5 linked regions of the Rattus norvegicus genome follow. Each later gene encodes a partner of the first gene's protein in a complex. Links are inferred from orthologs where the notes say so. Each region holds a gene or a part of one and is shown in the gene's direction. Other genes may lie near its edges. The genes, in order: Vamp2, Stx8, Snap25, Cplx1 and Napa.

The links.
Region 2: Vamp2 (region 1) and Stx8 share a complex: the UniProt entries of both Homo sapiens proteins name them as parts of the SNARE core complex. The link is inferred for Rattus norvegicus from reciprocal best matches to the Homo sapiens genes VAMP2 and STX8.
Region 3: the proteins of Vamp2 (region 1) and Snap25 are in contact, whole or in part, in a crystal structure (PDB 1SFC), measured with the Rattus norvegicus proteins. Residues at the interface, in NP_036795.1 of Rattus norvegicus: Asn25 (codon at 1,954), Thr27 (codon at 1,960), Ser28 (codon at 1,963), Asn29 (codon at 1,966), Arg30 (codon at 1,969), Arg31 (codon at 1,972), Leu32 (codon at 1,975), Thr35 (codon at 1,984), Gln38 (codon at 1,993), Val39 (codon at 1,996), Glu41 (codon at 2,002), Val42 (codon at 2,512), Ile45 (codon at 2,521), Met46 (codon at 2,524), Asn49 (codon at 2,533), Lys52 (codon at 2,542), Val53 (codon at 2,545), Glu55 (codon at 2,551), Arg56 (codon at 2,554), Lys59 (codon at 2,563), Leu60 (codon at 2,566), Glu62 (codon at 2,572), Leu63 (codon at 2,575), Arg66 (codon at 2,584), Ala69 (codon at 2,593), Leu70 (codon at 2,596), Gly73 (codon at 2,605), Ala74 (codon at 2,608), Gln76 (codon at 2,614), Phe77 (codon at 2,617); in NP_112253.1 of Rattus norvegicus: Gly131, Gly132, Phe133, Ile134, Arg135, Arg136, Asn139 (codon at 184), Leu150 (codon at 217), Glu151 (codon at 220), Ser154 (codon at 229), Ile157 (codon at 238), Gly158 (codon at 241), Leu160 (codon at 247), Arg161 (codon at 250), Ala164 (codon at 259), Leu165 (codon at 262), Met167 (codon at 268), Gly168 (codon at 271), Ile171 (codon at 280), Asp172 (codon at 283), Gln174 (codon at 289), Asn175 (codon at 292), Ile178 (codon at 301), Asp179 (codon at 304), Ile181 (codon at 310), Met182 (codon at 313), Ala185, Asp186, Asn188, Lys189.
Region 4: the proteins of Vamp2 (region 1) and Cplx1 are in contact, whole or in part, in a crystal structure (PDB 1KIL), measured with the Rattus norvegicus proteins. Residues at the interface, in NP_036795.1 of Rattus norvegicus: Arg47 (codon at 2,527), Val50 (codon at 2,536), Asp51 (codon at 2,539), Leu54 (codon at 2,548), Asp57 (codon at 2,557), Gln58 (codon at 2,560), Ser61 (codon at 2,569), Asp64 (codon at 2,578), Asp65 (codon at 2,581), Asp68 (codon at 2,590), Ala69 (codon at 2,593), Gln76 (codon at 2,614); in NP_074055.1 of Rattus norvegicus: Leu41, Arg48, Tyr52, Glu56, Arg59, Glu60, Met62, Arg63, Ile66, Arg67, Tyr70, Gly71, Ile72.
Region 5: the proteins of Vamp2 (region 1) and Napa are in contact, whole or in part, in a cryo-EM structure (PDB 3J97), measured with the Rattus norvegicus proteins. Residues at the interface, in NP_036795.1 of Rattus norvegicus: Gln36 (codon at 1,987), Ala37 (codon at 1,990), Asp40 (codon at 1,999), Glu41 (codon at 2,002), Val43 (codon at 2,515), Arg47 (codon at 2,527), Val50 (codon at 2,536), Asp51 (codon at 2,539), Leu54 (codon at 2,548), Glu55 (codon at 2,551), Gln58 (codon at 2,560), Lys59 (codon at 2,563), Arg66 (codon at 2,584); in NP_542152.1 of Rattus norvegicus: Arg116, Thr118, Lys122, Ser157, Ser159, Ser160, Lys163, Leu197, Tyr200, Ser201, Lys203, Arg239, Ser268, Ile269, Arg271.

What each region holds. Positions count from the first base shown.
Region 1 is NC_086028.1:54,291,495-54,295,595, forward strand, and holds the start of Vamp2 (vesicle-associated membrane protein 2), read left to right. Parts: upstream 1-1,294; 5' UTR 1,295-1,376; coding exon 1,377-1,378; intron 1,379-1,883; coding exon 1,884-2,004; intron 2,005-2,511; coding exon 2,512-2,670; intron 2,671-2,757; coding exon 2,758-2,809; coding exon of another isoform or gene 2,810-2,883; exon of another isoform or gene 2,884-3,409; coding exon 3,410-3,426; 3' UTR 3,427-4,101. UniProt on the Homo sapiens protein: Involved in the targeting and/or fusion of transport vesicles to their target membrane. Major SNARE protein of synaptic vesicles which mediates fusion of synaptic vesicles to release neurotransmitters.
Region 2 is NC_086028.1:53,157,669-53,161,179, forward strand, and holds part of Stx8 (syntaxin-8), read left to right. Parts: intron 1-212; coding exon 213-312; intron 313-2,149; coding exon 2,150-2,244; intron 2,245-3,511. UniProt on the Homo sapiens protein: Vesicle trafficking protein that functions in the early secretory pathway, possibly by mediating retrograde transport from cis-Golgi membranes to the ER.
Region 3 is NC_086021.1:144,571,087-144,574,597, forward strand, and holds part of Snap25 (synaptosomal-associated protein 25), read left to right. Parts: intron 1-176; coding exon 177-321; intron 322-3,511.
Region 4 is NC_086032.1:1,327,725-1,331,879, forward strand, and holds the start of Cplx1 (complexin-1), read left to right. Parts: upstream 1-1,348; 5' UTR 1,349-1,465; intron 1,466-2,737; 5' UTR 2,738-2,809; coding exon 2,810-2,840; intron 2,841-4,155. UniProt on the Homo sapiens protein: Positively regulates a late step in exocytosis of various cytoplasmic vesicles, such as synaptic vesicles and other secretory vesicles.
Region 5 is NC_086019.1:85,925,435-85,928,945, forward strand, and holds part of Napa (alpha-soluble NSF attachment protein), read left to right. Parts: intron 1-383; coding exon 384-500; intron 501-3,511. UniProt on the Homo sapiens protein: Required for vesicular transport between the endoplasmic reticulum and the Golgi apparatus. Together with GNA12 promotes CDH5 localization to plasma membrane.

The sequences.
Region 1 (4,101 bases):
TCCTGGGGCTTCTGCTGGGAGGGGGTTGGGCACTGCAGCACAGGAGGCTCTGGGAAGCCCACAGTGAAGAGGAGGAAAGCCAGACCCTGCTTGTCTCTGAGAATAAGGCTCTCTCAGGGATGTGTTGAGCACTCCCACCTCAGAGCTACTAGTCCTCCCCTAAAATGCCTCCTTCACCCCGGAGACTTGCTAAATAGGCAGCTGCTCCCTGGTTCTCTCTCTCCCTAGATGCAGGATGGGAGTGTGTACAGCTGCTGTGGCTGTTTCGTGTACTTAAAATGGAGCAGTCAGGAATGGACCAGGTCTAAGATAATATCCTATAGTGTTATCTAGATTAAGCCATTTGACAAATATTGTCTCCATATGTGATGCACTTAAATTTTAGGGTCCAGGGAGAGGCAGTTGGTTCTGTCAAGGTCATGTGTTTGGGACTAATCCACATGTAAAGTTGTGCCTATAACCTAAGTACTTCAGGTACGACCACCCTGTCTACTGTCTCTTTTCAGTCCGGGTTGTATGCTAGAATCAAAGCTGAGGTGGGGCAGCTGACTTCAGTGGGGATCCAGCCTATGGCACCACCAGACAGTCTTGGCCCTCCCTAGAGTCTTTAGCTTGTCTAATTTTTGTGGGGCCTGCTCAAGCTTTGACTGCCAAACACACACCTGGTCATAAGTTCTTTGTAAGGAGGGGCAGTTTTCACAGCCCCCCTCCTGCCCCGGTTTTGTGTGTGTGTGTGTGTGTGTGTGTGTGTGTGTGTGTGTGCCTCTGTTACTCCTTTTGCCCATACCCTGCTAGGAAATAAGAAGCCTCAGATCTCTCTTGAGACATTCAATTGCAGGGTGATGGGCGAGATTAGTTCTCACAATCCCCCTCCACTACAGTGTCAGGATTCCAGTTAGTATTGCTCTGGTACCTATCTTGGTCGCTTCTTGTTTTTCACCCTCAACCCATACACCATGTGTTGGAACCAGGTTGTAGGATGAGACGTCGAATTATAAGGTGTAAGAACCTGTGTATCCTCTTCAAGTATGAGGAAGGATGTAATTTGTGGGGAAGAGATGTATGAATCTCGGTTGTGGGTTCCTTCCAAAAGAGGCAGGTGTCAGGTGTCTTAGGGGCGGCGGTGGGTTGGCGAGCTGGGCCCACAGCCTAAGGCCAACAGACCCAACCAGACGACCCCCGGCCCTGCAGCGCCCCGCCCCCGCGGTCCGCTAGAGACGTGTCGCCTGCCGCGCCCCGCCCACGCCGCAGTGCCCGGATGCGGGTGACGTGCGGCCGCCATCTTCCAGTCCCGGGTAGCCAGCGCCAGTCGGAGCCAGCGCGAGCCGCCGCCGCTGTCACTGCCTCTGCCAAGTCCTCTGCCCGCTACCCCCGCCATGTAAGTCAGCCGCCTGTCACTCGCCACCCGCGATGTTCTGCCCCTTGCGGGCCGCCACCCCAAGGAGTGGGCTGGGAAACACGGGGGTCCCGCCCGCGCCTCTCGTGCCGCTGGCCAGGCTGGTGCCCATGACTGCGCGCTGGTGCCCGGAACCCGGTCTCGTGCGGTCTGGCACGGGCGATGGCCCGCAGGAGGGAGCGGACCCAGCGTCCACCCTCCGCCCCGCCCCTGTCACCATGGCCGTCAGTCATTTCGGGTCGACCCCGGGCAGCATCAAGGAGGTCGCCCTCATTTAACAGGAGGGGAAATTGAGGCACGAGGAGGGTCTCTCAAGGTCACGCGGCTCAACCGCTTTGGGGCCTTAAAGTGACTGTATCTCCCATCGGGTGCCTTCTCGCGCAAGAGAGGACTGGAGGGACTGTGGATGGACAGGTGGATGGGTGGAGCCCGGACTGTAGGGCCAGAGGCTCCAGGCCTGGAGTCTTAATCCGTTTCTCTTCCTTAGGTCGGCTACCGCTGCCACCGTCCCGCCTGCCGCCCCGGCCGGCGAGGGTGGCCCCCCTGCACCTCCTCCAAATCTTACCAGTAACAGGAGACTGCAGCAGACCCAGGCCCAGGTGGATGAGGTGAGTGTGTGTGTGTGTGTGTGTGTGTGTGTGTGTGTGTGTGTGTGTGTGTGTGTGAAAGATGATGGGACTGGCAAATAGGTGTGGGAGCCCATCTTGGGTTGAAGGTAATGACAGTTTATGCCTGTGGGTTTGGGTCCGAGACCTGCCGTATCCCCTCTCTGATTCCCTGTCAGCTTGCACTTGGAAGGGCTGCAGGATGAATCAGTTGTGCTAGCCCGGGGTGTGCCAGCTGGGGCAGGTGTGCTCTGGTGATAGGCTGATCCAAGCCCTAAAGATAGAGGGTGTTGCTGAGCATCTGAGCTCTGTGGCAGCAGCATGCCCCTGATGTGTGCTCCTTGCATGTCCCCAGGTGTGCTAAGCATGTTCTGTGTATGTCCTTGGCATGTTAGCCTGAAAACATCGGGGTGCATGTTCCATGTGTGCCACAATGGGCACATGTTCAAGAAGTGCCCTCCTTAAGGCGTACCTTGGCACACCCCCCTGCCTCGTGGACCCCTCCCCCAGGTGGTGGACATCATGAGGGTGAATGTGGACAAGGTCCTGGAGCGGGACCAGAAGCTATCGGAACTGGATGATCGCGCAGATGCCCTCCAGGCAGGGGCCTCCCAGTTTGAAACAAGTGCAGCCAAGCTCAAGCGCAAATACTGGTGGAAAAACCTCAAGGTAAAGGGGAAGGAGATGGGGTCAGGTGGAGGGCCAGTGGGTGAGTGGGGTGTCACCTCGCCTCATTCACCTCCCTCTCATTCCTAGATGATGATCATCTTGGGAGTGATTTGCGCCATCATCCTCATCATCATCATCGGTGAGTGGAGCAGGAGTGGCCAGGGCCCTTTCCCTGGAGAAGTAGAGGGTTTCCCTGTGGAGTCGGGGCTTTGAAGGTCATTGACCTAGTTTTTACTCTTCTACCAAAACACATTTTGCTGCTATTGGCAGTTCTGACTCACGTAGAGCCCCAACTTGAGTGTTATAGCCTTATTTTCCCTTGTTATGGGTAGTTCTGGGTAAGATTTTGGGGATAGGAATACTGGGTGGTCCCTGGTGCCTTTCTAGGAACCCTTTGAGCCTAAAAGCTCAGTCTGGGGTTTCTAAAACTGGAGAGTAGAAGACAGGTCAGGCTGAGGGTCTTGAACTCCAATCACAGGATACACTTACTCCACTATTTGAAAGCTATCGTCACATGCCAGTGCCTTAAAGGTTTGATACCCCTTTGTGCAATCGTGGCGTTTAAGGGATCTCAATACCCACTTGTGCAGTCCCTTTGAAGAAACTGAGGCAGAGAGAGAAGGGATGTCAGTGGGGGACTGGGGAGGTTTGGAACAGGGCCAGGCCTGATACACTGCTGTCTTTCTCTTCCTTCCCTTCCCCCACCCCCTACCCCTCCTCATGCCCTCTCTCTCCACAGTTTACTTCAGCACTTAAGTCCCTGAGGAGTCTGCCCTGCCTAAGAAGGGCCTCTCCCCCACCCTCAGCCCGTCCTCCACCTCTCAGCCATATCTTTCAGCCCCCTCCCTTGGATCCGTGTGTGTGTGTGTCCGTGTGTGTGCCCCCTGTAAATAGCCAGCTGTTATTTATACATATATAATATTATATATATTTGGTCTGTTTGTAGTTTTATTACTAGAAGATTTTTTCCGGTTGTCCTTAACACCCCTTCCTGAGGTTCCCATCACCTCTCTCTCTCACCCTCTGCCCCCTTTCCTCTTTCCTGTTCAGCCCCAAGTCCCTTCATTTGCATCTGCTATGCAATAGCCCCTCTCCTCCTTCCCTTGGATTTAACCAATCCTTCCCCTATCTTCCCTGTACAATTCCAGACCCTCCCCAAACAGAGCAAACCCCACAGAAACAAACAAAACACCCCACCTGTCTAGGCTTCCATAGGTTGCATCTTTGTATCCCTTGGGAGCCTCTAAGACTGGTCCTACTTGGTCCTAAGAATCCCAAGGTTTTCTGGGAGCTTCCAACATGTTGATTAGCATATCATTTGCATACACTGTCTTTTTTTTTTCCCTGGGTTTCTTCCTTTCTGTTCCATTACTCTTCACTCTTCTGTGTTTTTTTTTTTTCTTTCTTTCTTTTCGGAAGAGTTAGTTTCCA
Region 2 (3,511 bases), about 1.1 Mb from region 1:
CTTTTTGCACGTCACTTCTCATCTTGCCTCTGTGTCTCCTGCCCTGAAACAGCATCTCCTTGTCAGTGTGTTCCCTTAGACTAGGCTGGCCTCGAGCTCACAGAAATCCTCCTGCCTCTGCCTTTGCAAGGCTAGGATTGAAGGCACGTGACACCACACCTAGCCAGCACTTTCTTTTAAAGAACTTTAACGCGACTTTGACTTTGGTGCAGGTTCTCCACGTACGATTCTACTTGTCAGATTGCCCAAGAAATCGCTGAGAAGATTCAAGAACGAAATCAGTGTGAAAGAAGAGGTGAGAAGACACCTAAGGTAATGCAGGGAGGAATCCGCGTGCTGCTGAGCTCTGACGTCTGAAAGCATTGCTAGATCTGAGGTGTGCCGTGGGGGGTGGGGGTGTGCATGTGCATGTGTGTAAATCTTTTAGATCTTTTGGTATGTTGTATCGAATTTTACTTTTTCGCCATCGGTAAATTATGACCATTCCTCCAAGATATAAATTCCTCTGTATTTCATTCACTGACTTTTTATACAGCTACAGTTTTATACAGTTTTATACAGTTTTATACAGTTGTTCATACTTTTGATAGCTGCTGGCATTACATTCCCTAGGGTTCACACTGTTGGCAGCTGCTGGCACTGTACCCTTGAGTCTGTGTGTGTGTGCGTGCGTGTGTCCCTTGGGTTTGTGTGTGTGTGTGCGTGTATGTGCGTGTGTGTGTGCGTGTGCGTGCATGTGTGTGTGTGCGTGTGTGTGTGTGTGGTGTGCCCTTTTGATAGAGTTTGGGGTATGTGTGTGTCTGTCTTTGTTGCCCAGGCTGGCCCTGAGTTCAGGATTCAAGTGGTCCTCCTGCTGAAGCCTCACAAGTGGGGAGCAGTGTGAAGTACTGCTCCCAGCTGGTTGGAGTTTTTGCTTCTTACTCTATTCTTCTCTCTAAATACATGGCGGGCTCCTTCCCCTCAGCTCCACATCAGCATGATGGGCGCTCCTTTGGCTTCCAGGGATATTAGAACAAAGCTAGGCTTTTCCAGCCTGCTGACATCTTGGACAGTTGCTTGATGCTTGTTACCTTGCTCATCAGAGAGAGAGAGAGAAAGAGAGAGAGAGAGAGAGAGAGAGAGAGAGAGAGAGAGAGAGAGAAGAGAGAGAAGAGAGAAGAGAGAGAGAGAATGAATGAGAATGTGTGTGTGTCCATGTGTATGTGTGTCCGTGTGTGTCCGTGTGTGTGTGTGTGTGTGTGTGTGTGTGTGTGTGTGTGTGTGTGTGTGTGTCCTGCTTCTCCCTGAGCTATATAGCTGCTACCTTGTTGTTGTTTTGTTGAGCAAGGGTCTCACTGTGTAGCCTGGACCATGCTGACCTTGTACTCCTAGAGATAGATCCTCTCATCTCTCCAGAGCTGGGATTATAGGCGTACCCCAACATGCCTCACGTAACTGCTACTTTTAGCAAGCAGCGGTGACAACAGTGGCATTCTGCCTTTTTAATATTCCTCTGATTTCATCCAAGTCCAATCTGTTTTCATTTAAATGGGCCTTTTCTTCTTCACATTTCCAAATGTCAGAGTAGGACTCTCCCCACCCCTTCTTCATCTTTAGAGTCACAAACAGACATGTCCTCTGGGTTTTTAGGATGATTGGAGAAAATCCTCACAGTTGTAGAAGAAGAGCCGTGCGTGGTTAGCATTCCTTTCATGGAAAAAGAACACGTATTCTCCAGTGTTCACATGGGCTATAAATACACCAGAGTGTTCACAGACCAGTCAGGATGGTAATGGGACTTGACACCTTGTCATCTGAAGCATGGTTGAGGGAACCAGGGAGCTTTGCTGTTGGGCAAGGACTGGGGGAACACAGTTTCCTGCATGGTCCCAGGGTGGGTAAAATACAGCGGGTAGGAGAATTCCAGCCGAGTGTGAATGCAAGCTGACAGTTTCCACTCAATGTCTGTGTTCCCGTGTGGACCAGGTTGCCATGGGCAGGTGCACTATGGGGACAAGCTCCAGGTGGGTGGCTAGACCATGATGCCATTGAGACCTTTACAACCCTGAGAGTGTCCTCACGAGGCTAAGCCTCCCTCCCAGGTCTGTTTAACTTGGCAGATGCTACACCTCAGGTCCGGTGGACTCAGGCTGTGTCCTTCTCTTTGCAGCTTACCCTGACAATCAGAACTTTGTTGAAGAATCTGAAGGTAAAGATCGACCTCTTGAAGGACTTACTTCTAAGAGCTGTGTCGACGCGCCAGATGTATCCATGTAAACAAACCCACCCTTTTCTGGAGTGGGAGGAAAAGCAATCTTAAGACAGGAAGGAATCTGGGCCATCCAGATTTTTCCACAGCTCAAGGAGGACGTGGTTTCCACACTGTTGCTGTAATCGTACATTCTGTCTTAAGCGCTCACTGTGTGACAGTGACCTAACTAAGGAATAAATCCGTTTCGGCGTAGACTCACAGGCAGGAAAGCTACCACTTTCTGTCAGGGCTTCGTAGAGTCACATACTGCTCTCTGTCGCTGCCTTGAGGATGGCTAGATGCTTCTCCAACCACAGGACTTCCTTGACAGTTCTGAGCAGTGGTTCCCTGCTCGACTTTGCAGAGCATTTTCCCCCCTTTTCTCAGTAGACCAAGCATTAATAGCCAAACCTCTGCCCTCACATCTATGAGCTCAGATAAAGACATACTCTGGTATACCCAGTTTTGCGGAGCTGCTGGGGGTGGAATCAGGGCTCTGTGCGTGCTAGCCACATGCTCCCACAATCGAGCAATCTCTGAGCCGTGGGATGTCTTCTACTTCCCTGCTTCCTGGCCTATAGCATCCGTTTTGCTTTGTAAAGCTTCAGCTGTAGACTGGTGGGGTGTGACTTGCCCATTTCATTCTTTCAGGGACACAGGTAAATGTCCCTAGCCTGGGAGCTTTGCGGGTAACGAGTGTGTTGGGACTTGATTAAGGCAAGCTGGGTCATCTGAACCTCCCGTGAGTTATCAAATACTTAAGCTCTGTTTTGAGCTGGGTGGTTGTACACATCTGTAATCCCAGCACTGAAGAGTGAGGCAAGATAGAGCATTAAAAGCTAGCCTGGGCTACATAGTAAGTTTGCGGCTAGGCTAGGCTTTATGATGAGGCACCCTACCCCACCCCATCCTGCCTCAAAACAAACATTTTAAAAAGAAATTCACAATGTAACCTGCTACCTAAACTAATTCTTTTTTTTTTTTTTTTTTTGGTCTTTTTTTCGGAGCTGGGGACTAAACTAATTCTTGAAACCCAGTTTATATTGAAGTGAAAACTGATCCCATGGTTGTATCTCTTAAAATTGGCTCTAATTCAGGCCAAAGATCTGACTTTTGGTAGCAGAAGAAACCATATGTCCTGGCTTTAAATGTGGGGAAATGTAGGAATACCGCTCTTTTGACAAAACGATTGAAGGTGTTTCAAAAGTACATCTTCTCCTAAAGGAGCCCTTTTATGTTAGCAGGATGGTTGGCATGACTTAGTTGCATGGTTTTCCATAT
Region 3 (3,511 bases), on another chromosome or scaffold:
AGCTCAAAACATCAATTTTAAAATTACACTTGAAGCTGACAGATATTAAGACGTGTTGGTATATTGAATAAGCATTAGAACTCTTCCTAGATGCGTGTATATTTCCCTCAAGCTCTGCTTCTTCGGTAACAACTTTCTTCTCACTCTGTCTTCCAAAATTGCTCTTTGGCTCCCAGGGTAACAAACGATGCCCGGGAAAATGAAATGGATGAAAACCTAGAGCAGGTGAGCGGCATCATCGGAAACCTCCGTCATATGGCCCTAGACATGGGCAATGAGATTGACACCCAGAATCGCCAGATTGACAGGATCATGGAGAAGGTGAGTCTATAGCTCTCAGGTACTGACTACTGACTGCCATTACGAAGGGGACACTACATGCAGGCAAACTAGTTACTGGGTATTTTGCCCAAAATATTTCAAGATAAAAACACGAGATTCTGTGGTAGAACTGGAATGAAGATTAGAGGTCGTTTGAGTTTCGATGTATTATGGGGGCTGAGTATTGAGCATAGGGTAGTGGGTATTCAAGAAAAGTGTTCTGCCAATGAGTTACATTCCTACCCCAGACCATACGATTGAATGGTGTTTATATTTCTCTATCTCTCCCATACCAGACATGTGCTAGGCACTTAGAACACCTGAAAACAAGACAGATCATATTCTCACTGCCAAGGAATTCATATCAGGACACAACAACCATGAAACAATTCACCATACAAATCAGACACTACTTCTTTCCTTACATTCTCATTCCTCATAGCATGTTGAATATTAATTATAACCTTTTTTACCTGTAAAATTCCAAATGGGAGAAGATGGAAGCATTTAACAATGATTTTATTTGTGAATATATGTCTGGCTACTCTTTTGCTGTGTTCTTAGTCTCCGTGAGACACTGAAGTTCTTAATCTGAGATCTTGAGTGTCTTTATATCTTCTCTTGCCAAGAACAGAGTTGGTTAATGTTTAGATCTTTTAAGTCACAAAGCTAAGTAATAGCATCTTGATCCCCCAAGCATTCTTCAGTACTGCAAAGGGATGAATTAATAGTATTGTGTCATATGTGCTCCAGATAAGCAATATATGACCACAGAATATTTTGCCTGATTGGTATTGAACTACACATATGTCAGAGCTGGCTAGAAAAATGCTTGTGTGGTGCATTTTAGAGCATGCAAGTTAGAGCATGCTTGTTGTGGCTAAGCAGCTTTTGCTGTCATGAAGCTTTTAAGGCTGTGAGAGCCAATGGGTTTTAAAGCCACATTGAAAGGTTCAAAAAGTGCTGGAACCAATTCAGTCTGACTTAAGCCATTACGGCTCCAAAGGAAAAATGAACATAGAGATAATTGCTCAGCTGTTCTCCAGAAGGGAAACAATCTGAGAAAACAGGAAGTGCTTGTTTTCTATCACCGAACCAAATTGACTCGGAAGCCAGCAGATAACTCAGCAGAGCCAAGCAGGGTTCCAGAGAAGAGATTTTTACTAACATAAAGAGGTCAAAACTTTGAGTAACTGGATTGGGAAAAGAAATATTTATTCCTCCTGTAAAGGCAGCAGAAGCCACATTCTGATGCCTCTGCTGACGTTGTTCTCTAGAATGGTGAGAACTTTTGGTATTTAGCTGTTCGTTACCAATGAAGGAGTACGTTGCCATAAAGGTTTAAGGAAATGCCAGACACGTTGATGGGAAACCACTGCTCTGGTTTTGCATCAACCCTAGGCTGCTGAGTCACAGAGGTAGAGTGAAGGTTATAATTGCCTTTCAACAATTAGTATAGCTTAGCCAATATTTGAAATAGAACTTCCATACATAAAATCACAATAGAGTTATTCCAAGGATGTTAGTGGGCTACACTATTCCTTCTTTCTCAAGGAAGTTCTAATCTTTGATAACTATATCAGAAGTCTCAGTCTGTATAGGGTTGAGCTAAAACCACACAGTAGGCAAAACAAAGAGAATTTTCTTCTCTCCTGGCCCCTCTATGAGCTTCTCCATCATCATTTGGGTTGATGGTGAACTCTGGGGAGATGAAAAGAGTTTTTATATAGTCTTGTGAATTTTTAGGACATTGCTTTGTGTTTATGCTTATGTGTGCTTATATGTACAATCTTTCAAAGTTACAAGCACATTGTTCTTCGAGGAAACTTGACATTGGGAGTATGTTTCCATCCCAAGCTTCGTACAGACCAGTGTTAATGGAGCAATGAAGAGAATTAACCAGTGTTAATGGAGCAATGAAGAGAATTAACCAGTGTTAATGGAGCAATAAAGTAGAGTTTGGTGGAAGAAAGTGTGTTAAGATACAGCTGGGTGGTCCCCACGGACTTCCATCATTGGGCAACCTAGATACTGAAAAGTAAGGCCTTGCCCTCTAAAAGGGCATGTGCAGTTCACCAATTCTGTGAGCTGTATGGAGGGACAGCTTGACTCTGGAATCTGAACATGCTGGCATATGACATACACACAGTTTGAGGTGTCTGATCTGGGCCAGGACTGCACCTGCCTGAAGCACCCAAGAGTTCGATGTACTCAGGACCCCCTTCTAAAAATGTCAGGGCTCCCTAATGGGTACTGGCCTTTCCGAAAAGGGAAATTATGAAGTGCATCTTAGAAATGCTGTCATAGGATTTCTCTAATCAAACGGAATCCTCAGATGGGGTAGCCCCCATTTTCAAAAAAAAAAATTCTCAAAGATGAACAAGGAGAACAGGATGAACACAGACAGAGGCATTTTCCAAGGAGCACACCTGAAGGGAGATTCTGTCAGGTTTGTTTTGTTTCTTTCTAAAAGGTGCTATTTCTTTTATATACCATGTAAAAAGTATGTGGCACTTTTATGCCATGTGTTATGGGTCTGGAGTTTGAACATGCTTTAGAGAACTTGAGAGGGAGGAGCAAGCATCCACTGAGCAGAGGTGCTCCAGATGCACCCTGCCTTTGAGAATATCCCAGGAATGGCTTCTGCTCTACTTAAACATCCCCCAAGCTACCTGGCAAAGGCCAGACAGTGCGTTCATAAACAAGACAGTCTACATTTGCCTTCGGAAACAATATTTGTTTTAAAATGGATTGCTTTCTCACTTCAGTGTCTCTGAGCTCAATCTAGAAATGGCACATTTCAATCTATAAGAGCATGTCAAATTGGCCTGAGCTAGTCTTTTCCTTTTCAAAAAAGTATTATTTCTGACACAGTTGGTAGGTACAGAAGAAGGCTCTAGGAAGCAAAGAAAATTGGCAGGATTATCCATTTTCCAAATGAGGAGCTGGGGGGTCAGAAATATGTCTATAGTTCTGAATAATCAGGACAAATCAATGTTCCCTTTTTTGATGTAAATACTCATTTTGAAGCCAACTCTTGATTAATCAAACAGATGGTAAAGAGCCATAGCCAGATAATTCAGTTGTGAATAATCCAGAAACATGTTCTACTTTCCAGATCTCTGTTTGAACATGGATGACTCCAGTGTGCTAGGAGTTTATAAATTCAAATTGACTATAGAAGACCCTA
Region 4 (4,155 bases), on another chromosome or scaffold:
CTTGCTGTGGCCCTTGCTTTTTTGCTAGCTACCATAGACTCCTAAAACACAGAATGAGTCAGACTGGGCACATCTGTGTACAGGTGACCCCATTCCACGGGGCATCAGTCCTGGGCCTGAACAAGGCTTGGGGCATCAACCAACCTTACCAGAAGTGTGATGGGTGAACTGAGATGGATGGTGTCAATAGGAATGGCACTGGGAGACTCTTCTGTGTATGGTGTGAGTCATGTCCAACTTTCTGAATGATCCCCTCTCCTAGGCATAAACCTGGGTACAGTGCAGGCACTTCACCAGTGGGATCAGACTGTATCCCTAACTACAAGGCTCCAGGCTGAAGTCAGGGCTAGAAGATGGGGGACTTCTCTTCCTGTCTCCACTCCAGCTCCCTTCCTGGTCTCTTCTACTTTGAATCTGCCAGGTCAAAGGAACAAAAACTGATAAAAGCAAGTCTACGATGGACTCCATACCCTCCCTCAGCCCCTCGAATTCAAGCCACCAAGCACCCTGGGGCAGCTTTGGGATGTTAGTGAAGGAGGAATACTCATTAGGCAAGAAGTTTCACTGAATTGGGTGAAGGTCAAGATCTACCTAATCCGGAGGAATGACTCAGCCAGGAGGAACAGTAACAGTTAATGCAATGACCATCAGCACAAGACCCTGCGGGTCAGGAAATACCTCTGGCTACCCAGAATCAAAAAACAGCTTAGGTGTCCCCATATGCTCTGACTTCTGCGAAGCTGATTGCCTCACAGAAGCCCCCGCCCGCCCCCCAGGACAAGTACAGGGATGCCAGGCCAACCTTGTGGCCACCGGGTTCTTCTGCAGTGCAGCCGCAGCAGAGTTGAAATCCCGTTGCCGGGGAAGGGGCGGCCTAGAGGCGGGGCTGTGGCTGTCTCCGAGGAGCCCCTGCCCAGCCATGTCCGCAGTGACCTTCAGGCGTCCCTGACTGGCTGGGGTTCCTATCCCACCAAAGCCACATTTGGCGGTTCTGCACACCGGAGAAGGTTGGATGTGTGGGCTTATCTTGCAGGATCGGGGGTCTCGGGCGGTGCTCGCCTCTTCCCGCCCTGCCAGCAAAGGAGCAAAGCAACCGGGTCAAGAGCAAACGTGGTGGGTAGATGAGGGATGGCGACCCCAGCCCTGCGTTCTCCCTGCGTTTCTGGAGGGCGCTTCAGGAGGAATTCAGGAGGGTCTCCAAGCCGGTATGAAGAGAGTGGCCCAGGCCAAGGAGGGGCCCCTATGCAGCTGTCGCGCGAGCCAGGCCAGAATCTGGGAACCGGGGGCGCGGCTACCCCCCCATCTCCGCCGCGCCCCGCCCTCCTCGTCATGCGGGACGCGGGCGGGGGCGCTTCTGAGTGACGCGCCCTCCTCGCGGTGTCCTTCAGCCGCCGCAGCAGCACAGAGCGCCACATGGACCCCGCCGGCCTGAGAGCGCGCTGCTGTTGATCGTTCACCTTGGAAGGTAACTAGCGCCCTAGCAGCCAGTCCGACCTCAACCGGCTCCCACCTTTCCCCTTCCCAGCTCAGTCTTCCTCCCGACTCCGGGGCTTCCCTTCCCGGATCCCCGCTTTCTAGCCATGGGTCTCCTACCCTTGGTTCCCCTACTCTTGGTTCCTTGCCTTTCAGACCCAAGGTTGATCAGCCCGGAAGGCGCTGTCCGTCTCAAGGTGCTGAAGCGGCCCTTGATTCCCTTTCCCATCGGCATTTTTTTTTTTTTTTTTTTTTCCTTTCTTTCTTTCTTCTCTCCCTGGCGCGCTTCTGCCTGAGGCCGTGCTCCGGTCGGGCACCTCGCCCAGCAAAGCAAAGGGTGCGGCGGCCACGAAAGAACAGGATGCCTTGGTCTTTGCGGAATCTCCTCCGCAGCGACCGAGCTTCTCCAAGCCTGGCCCTGCGGAGCCCCCATCCCCCGATTACCCCGAGACAGAGAGAAGTTTAGAAGGCAACTGGCTTTGCTGCAAAGGCATCCCTGAACCCCTAGCTTCTGGGACACTCTCACTGCCTGGCACCCCTTCGGGTCTCATTCCGCAGAGGGAAACCTGTGAAATACTGGATCCCTAGGGACCAGGTTCCCTGTCAGGAAAGACCCTACAAAAAGGGATGTCTTTGCAGCTGTTGGCATTACAAAAAACACCTTTCTAAACGCTGCTGGGCATTCTGGCTTGGGTCGCCCTACCTCATGCAGAGACAATGTGGATCAGCTGTTTCCCCTCCTAGTGGAAGACCCGGACACTGTCATCTCCCTCCCGGGCCAGTACTGCTGCGGGCCTCCAGAGTCTCCCTACAGACAAATATAGTTGAGACTAGTCAGAAGTCATAAGGACCTTTCCTGAGGGGCAACATTCATGGACTTGTCTCTCCAATTCTTCCCCAGAGGGACCCTTGCCCCACAGCTCCAAAACTGCCAAGGAGGTTGAGCAGCCAGAATCTGGGTGCTACAAGCAGAGCATTGACCTTCAAATGCCCCCTGGGCCCCACCCCCACTTGAGGAGGCTGGCACCAGTCTCCAGTAACTGGTGGCCCCAAGTTGTGAGCTGCAGTGGCAGTTAAAAGCTTCCTTCAGAAACCCCAGAAGCAGCAAGATGACTGTTGGTTTGGCTGGGCTCTGAACCCTGCCGTCCTGGTCTGGGTGTGGGAACAAAGCCTCTCGCACTGGACTCTCAGGATAGTGGAGAGGTGTAGATGAGGGTCTTGGGAAGAGTCCGTCAGGGTACCTATGACCACCTACTCTCTCTAGGCAGAGGACTCCAACCACACTTGAATGTGAAATCTGACCCCGGAGTGTCTCCTGAGGAACCAAGCCATCATCATGGAGTTCGTGATGAAACAAGCCCTGGGAGGTAGGAGGTGGGCAGGGAGGAGGACATGGGTTTGGGCCACCAGGGATACACAGACATCTGATACTCAAGAGAGACATGTCTCTACCACTGCAGTGACATGGAGACACATGGCTGCATGACCACTTCTGACCTCACTCACTGCCTCTGCAGGTAGTTGCAGATTTAATATGAGATATGGGGAGAATGTGCTGTGTAAGATGGCCCTATGCCCCCGTGCCATGGCGCAGTAGAACGCACTGGTCATCCCAAGACGAGTCAAGAACTGAGCAGCATTGATCAATGCAGATACCCCGGCGAGGCTTGTGAGCAGCTCTCGTTGTGTCAGTCCTGGGAACAAACCATGCACCAGGATTGCGTTAGGAAACAGGATCTGGGTGATCCCAACTGTGGCATTGAGCTCTATGGGTTTCACCCGGGTAAGAGACAGTACTATTTACAAGGACAAGAAAGGATAACTATGTAATCAAGTCCACTTCTACAGAGAAAACATAGCCCCTTTATGTCGTTGAGTGAGGGCAGCCTCCTTACTCACTCACTGTTTGAAGAGAGTCCTGTCCCCACTTGGCCCAAAGCCATCTTTGTAGCTAGCAACAGTAGGTCTAGAAACTGGTAGAGGACAGTGGAATGAGTTCTTGGCCAGGAGGTGCTGAAACAGTGAGCTAAAAGGTTTGGTACCCGTTTGGCCAGAATGGGTTTCAACAGAGCAGTTTAGTCAGCTCAAGCCTGTAGGATTTGAGATTGCCCTAGGTGGACTTCATGCTTGTTCAAGCTACCTGCTCTAGGTACCCCAACACCCTTGTGTAGCCTCAGTGCTGAGAGCTCACACCAATTTTACTGCAGGGAGGCCCCTTGACTGGTGTGGGTCTCAGCTGGAATGTGTTAGGCATCCTTTGCTGTATGGAAAAGGGAAGGGGACCACTCACAGAGAGAAAGCTGGTTGGGGTCTTGGGGCCCAAAAGAGGAGAATCTGCCCAAATAGGCATCTCCCAGAGGGTGTCTGTGACTTCACTCGTATGTGATGAAAAGGAGACCCAGTGTGCTTGCTGAGTTCACGGCTGTGGTAGACTCAGGTTGAATCTAATTATAATGATTACATCACCGGGACAGGATTCAGAGGCAAGCCAGCATCCTGTATCAGAAGAGACCCGTGTTATACCCAGAAAGTCCCAGGCTGCTACAGACAATTAATTTGGTGGCTAATTCAGGCCCTGAGGTGGGCTTTTAAAGAAACTGAAATCTCTGATTTGGCTGTCTACGTAGCTGAAATTAGCTGGGTAATTGCCAGCCTGGATTCCCTCATTGTTCCATGTCAGCC
Region 5 (3,511 bases), on another chromosome or scaffold:
TCTTCTCCTTGCTCTCTGTTTAGGTTCCAGACTTTTCTGTGCAAGAGGAGAGTCTCTGAACCCAAGAGCCTGGATGTTTTGTACTTTTAGTCCTCGGCTCTGCCTGCCTTTTCTTCCTCTCTGTGGAAGTGGAGGCTCTTGAGTTGCTGGGTGGAGGGGATGGGCGGGTACTGTGTTCACCCTGGCCATTTGTTTATAGTGGGACCTAGGCTTCCCAAGGCAGCTTTCTGACCTCCTCGATTCACCAGAAAGCTCTGCGAAGGCTGCCATTGGGCTGGAGTAGGCTGATCTGGACCTCTGCCTGGCACTCTAGCTGTGTTCTTGAGAGCCCGAAGTGCCTCCTGGGGCCGTGACTGAAGCTGGGCCAATCTGTTCTATTCTAGCTGCTGGGAACGCTTTCTGCCAGGCTGCCCAACTGCACCTACAGCTCCAGAGCAAGCACGATGCAGCCACCTGCTTTGTGGACGCCGGCAACGCTTTCAAGAAAGCTGACCCCCAAGGTAAGGGCCTGTGGGAGCCACAGACGGCAGAACAGGTGAGCACTGTCCCCATCCTCAGGTGTCTGCACAGATCTGGGCTTTTCCAGTGGCTGACACACGATAGGCCAGGAGCAAAACAAGCCCTGACTGCAGAATTGGCTGGTCTTTGCTGTCACTGGCATCCTGCCCCGCAGGTGGCACCTCTCCCACCCAGGCTTTGAGCATTTGGGAGTGGGAGTTCCATTTCAGACCCACTGTTTGCCAGGAAACCAGGCAAAGCTGTTCAGTTGTCAGAATTAGCATGCAGAAGGGGGCAGGGCAGTCCAAGCCAAGCCAAGTAAAGTGGAGCTCTGCTTGACCTGGCTTCCCTGCACTCCAAGAAGAAGCAGGGGAAGTTGCCAGAGGCCAGTTCCTTAAAGCAGAGCCTCTGGGGACAGGTTTGGACGCAGCACAGCCCAGGGACCTCAGACTCGGATTTCCTGGGCTGGGGAGTTTGCTTTCGTTATTTTTCTTGGTTCTTTTTTTTTTTTTTTTTTTTTTTTTCCGGAGCTGGGGACCGAACCCAAGGCCTTGCGCTTCCTAGACAAGGGCTCTACCACTGAGCCAAATCCCCAACCCCTGCTTTCATTATTTTTATTCGCTTATTTGTGATGCTAGGGATTCAGCCTGGACCTCTGATGTGCTGAGAATGTGTTATACACATCTCGGTCCCCAGAATGATTTCTTTTTTAAATCTTAGAGCCACATAGATTGCTAACTTTAACTTTTAGCAAGCAGAGGTGTCTGACGCAGTCATGGTGGCTCATGCCTATCATCTAAGCATTTGGCAGGCAGAGGCAGAAAATTCAGGTACTCAAAACAAACCATCCTCAACCCTTGGCTACAAAGCGAGTTTGAGGCACACCTAGGGCTGTATGAGACTAAGTCTCATTAATAATTTTTAAAATATCTAGGATTTTTTTCTTTAGAAGAATGGAAAAGAAGTGACTATTCTTTTCAAAAGGAGGTGCTCAGTGTTTGGATAAAGGTTCACCTCTAGGGAGAAGACACGCACCCCATGCTCTCTGCAGCATCAGTGAATAACTGCCATTGTTGACAGAGCCACTCCCAGTTAGAGAGATGACTGTGTTGGCTCCGTCCCTGGGCTGACAAGCAGAGAGAGACAGCCTCTCAGCTGGGTAGGACTTGGATACAGCCAGCGGCTCAGGGCAGTCCTTTCCTCCACACAGCCCTCCTCATGCTTTCCCCTTTTGCTCCCTGGGGGACTGGTTGGCCTGGAGACACTGCCTAGCATCTGTGCCCCTCAGCTGCTGCTCCATCCGGAGGGGCTGGGAGGACCAGTTCCTGGGTGCTAGTGGCTGCCAGCCTAAAGGATGCCCTAGCATCATGAGCTCTTTGAACAGAACTGTACCTCCCAGTTTGTGGTTGGGTCCTTTTCCTCCAGAGACTCAGGCATGGGCCCTGTCCTCAACACGTGCAGGCTAATGTGGATGTGCACTGAGGATGCTGCAGCTAAGGGCGTAATGGTGGAGAGGGTACCTAGCACAATTGTGAGAGGAGAGCTTCTGATGGTAAGGGCTAGGGACTCATGCTGGACAGGGAGGGATGACAGCTGAGTGACATTCAGCCCCACTGCCATGGTACCCTCCCCAATCACAGCTCCACAAATGAGGGGAATGGACTGCATTTGCAAAGATAACAGCCATTTTGTCTAGGGCCAGTCAGGGCTCACAGAGAAGATTAGCCAAGCAGGGGAAGACATGCCTGGGTAACCTGAGCCTCACTTCCCCCTCCCCCAAGAAACCCAGGGCCTTGTGCTGCACCATGAAACTGCATCCTAGCCCTGTTACTCTTCAGGGCTTTATTTTCTCCTCGGTGATAGCATCCACTTACTGCGAGGTGCACATAGCAGCTTCTGATATCCAGGAGGGAGCCACCCTGAGCTCTAGAGCTTCTCCCATGTGGCCAGTGTCCTAGGAAACAGGTGGAGGAAGGCCAGGGAGGCTTGAACACCCAGTTTGTTCAGGAGGAATCTCCCTCACCTGTCTGATCACCTGCCCTGTGGTCTCATCCGTCAGCTCTTTAGGGATCCCACCTGAGACTTCCATTAGCAGCAGCTGACGGCCTGGGAATTTAACCCTTTTATAGCTTGCCTTGTGTGTGCATAGGCAGGGAAATAGTCTGTCCTCACGGGTCTTCTACCTAACCCCACGCCTACTGTTCTGTGGTTTCTTGGATGCCTACTATGTACAAGCACCTGACGCTGTTGCATCCATCCCCTCTCCTTGCTGGGGCTTGCAGTTTGTCCCTGTTTTACTGTGAACGGTGCTTGCTTAGCTCTGCATATGCCAGGGACTTCAGAGTAATGTAGAGTTGAGCTGGGTTCTGTAAGCCTCTCTCTACAGGCTGAGCACCCAGGAGGGTAGGAACTGACCTGTGGCATCAGAAGCCCTGTGGTGAGAGCAGATCAGGGTGTCAGCCAGCAGCCTGCTGCTTTCCAAGCTGTTCCTAGAGCAAGGAGCCAAGGCCCTGTAAATCCATGTTTCTCCCTTGCTTCTGTGGCAGGGACAGCCCCCTCAACAGATCCCATGCCAACAGGCTTTAGCTGCTGAAATCCCCACAGGAAGCAACCTTAGCATCCACATCCCGAGAGAGCCCAGCACACTCAGTCCAGTAGGAGCCCTGGAGCCTTCCTACCACATGGTCTGTAGTCCATCTAGACCCTTTGTCCGGCCCTGTGCCTCTCCCAACCCCCTCCTGAGTTGGTGGTTAAAAGATACTGAGAGTTCATTTCCATCTGCTAGAAGATGCCTCCCACTCATGCCTCTCTCCTCCAAATAACTTGTTCAAAAAAAAAATCCTTTTCCCAATTTAAAATCTTAGAAGAAATGGTACAATGAAGGTACCATCCTGGTGTTCGGTACAGCTTGCTATTCAAGCAGCCAGTAGGGCCAGGACCTTTTGGATGCACCAAGGAGAGGACAGTGCTCTTCAGATGGGGGTGCAGAGCCCCCATGAAGAGGGCCCAGTGC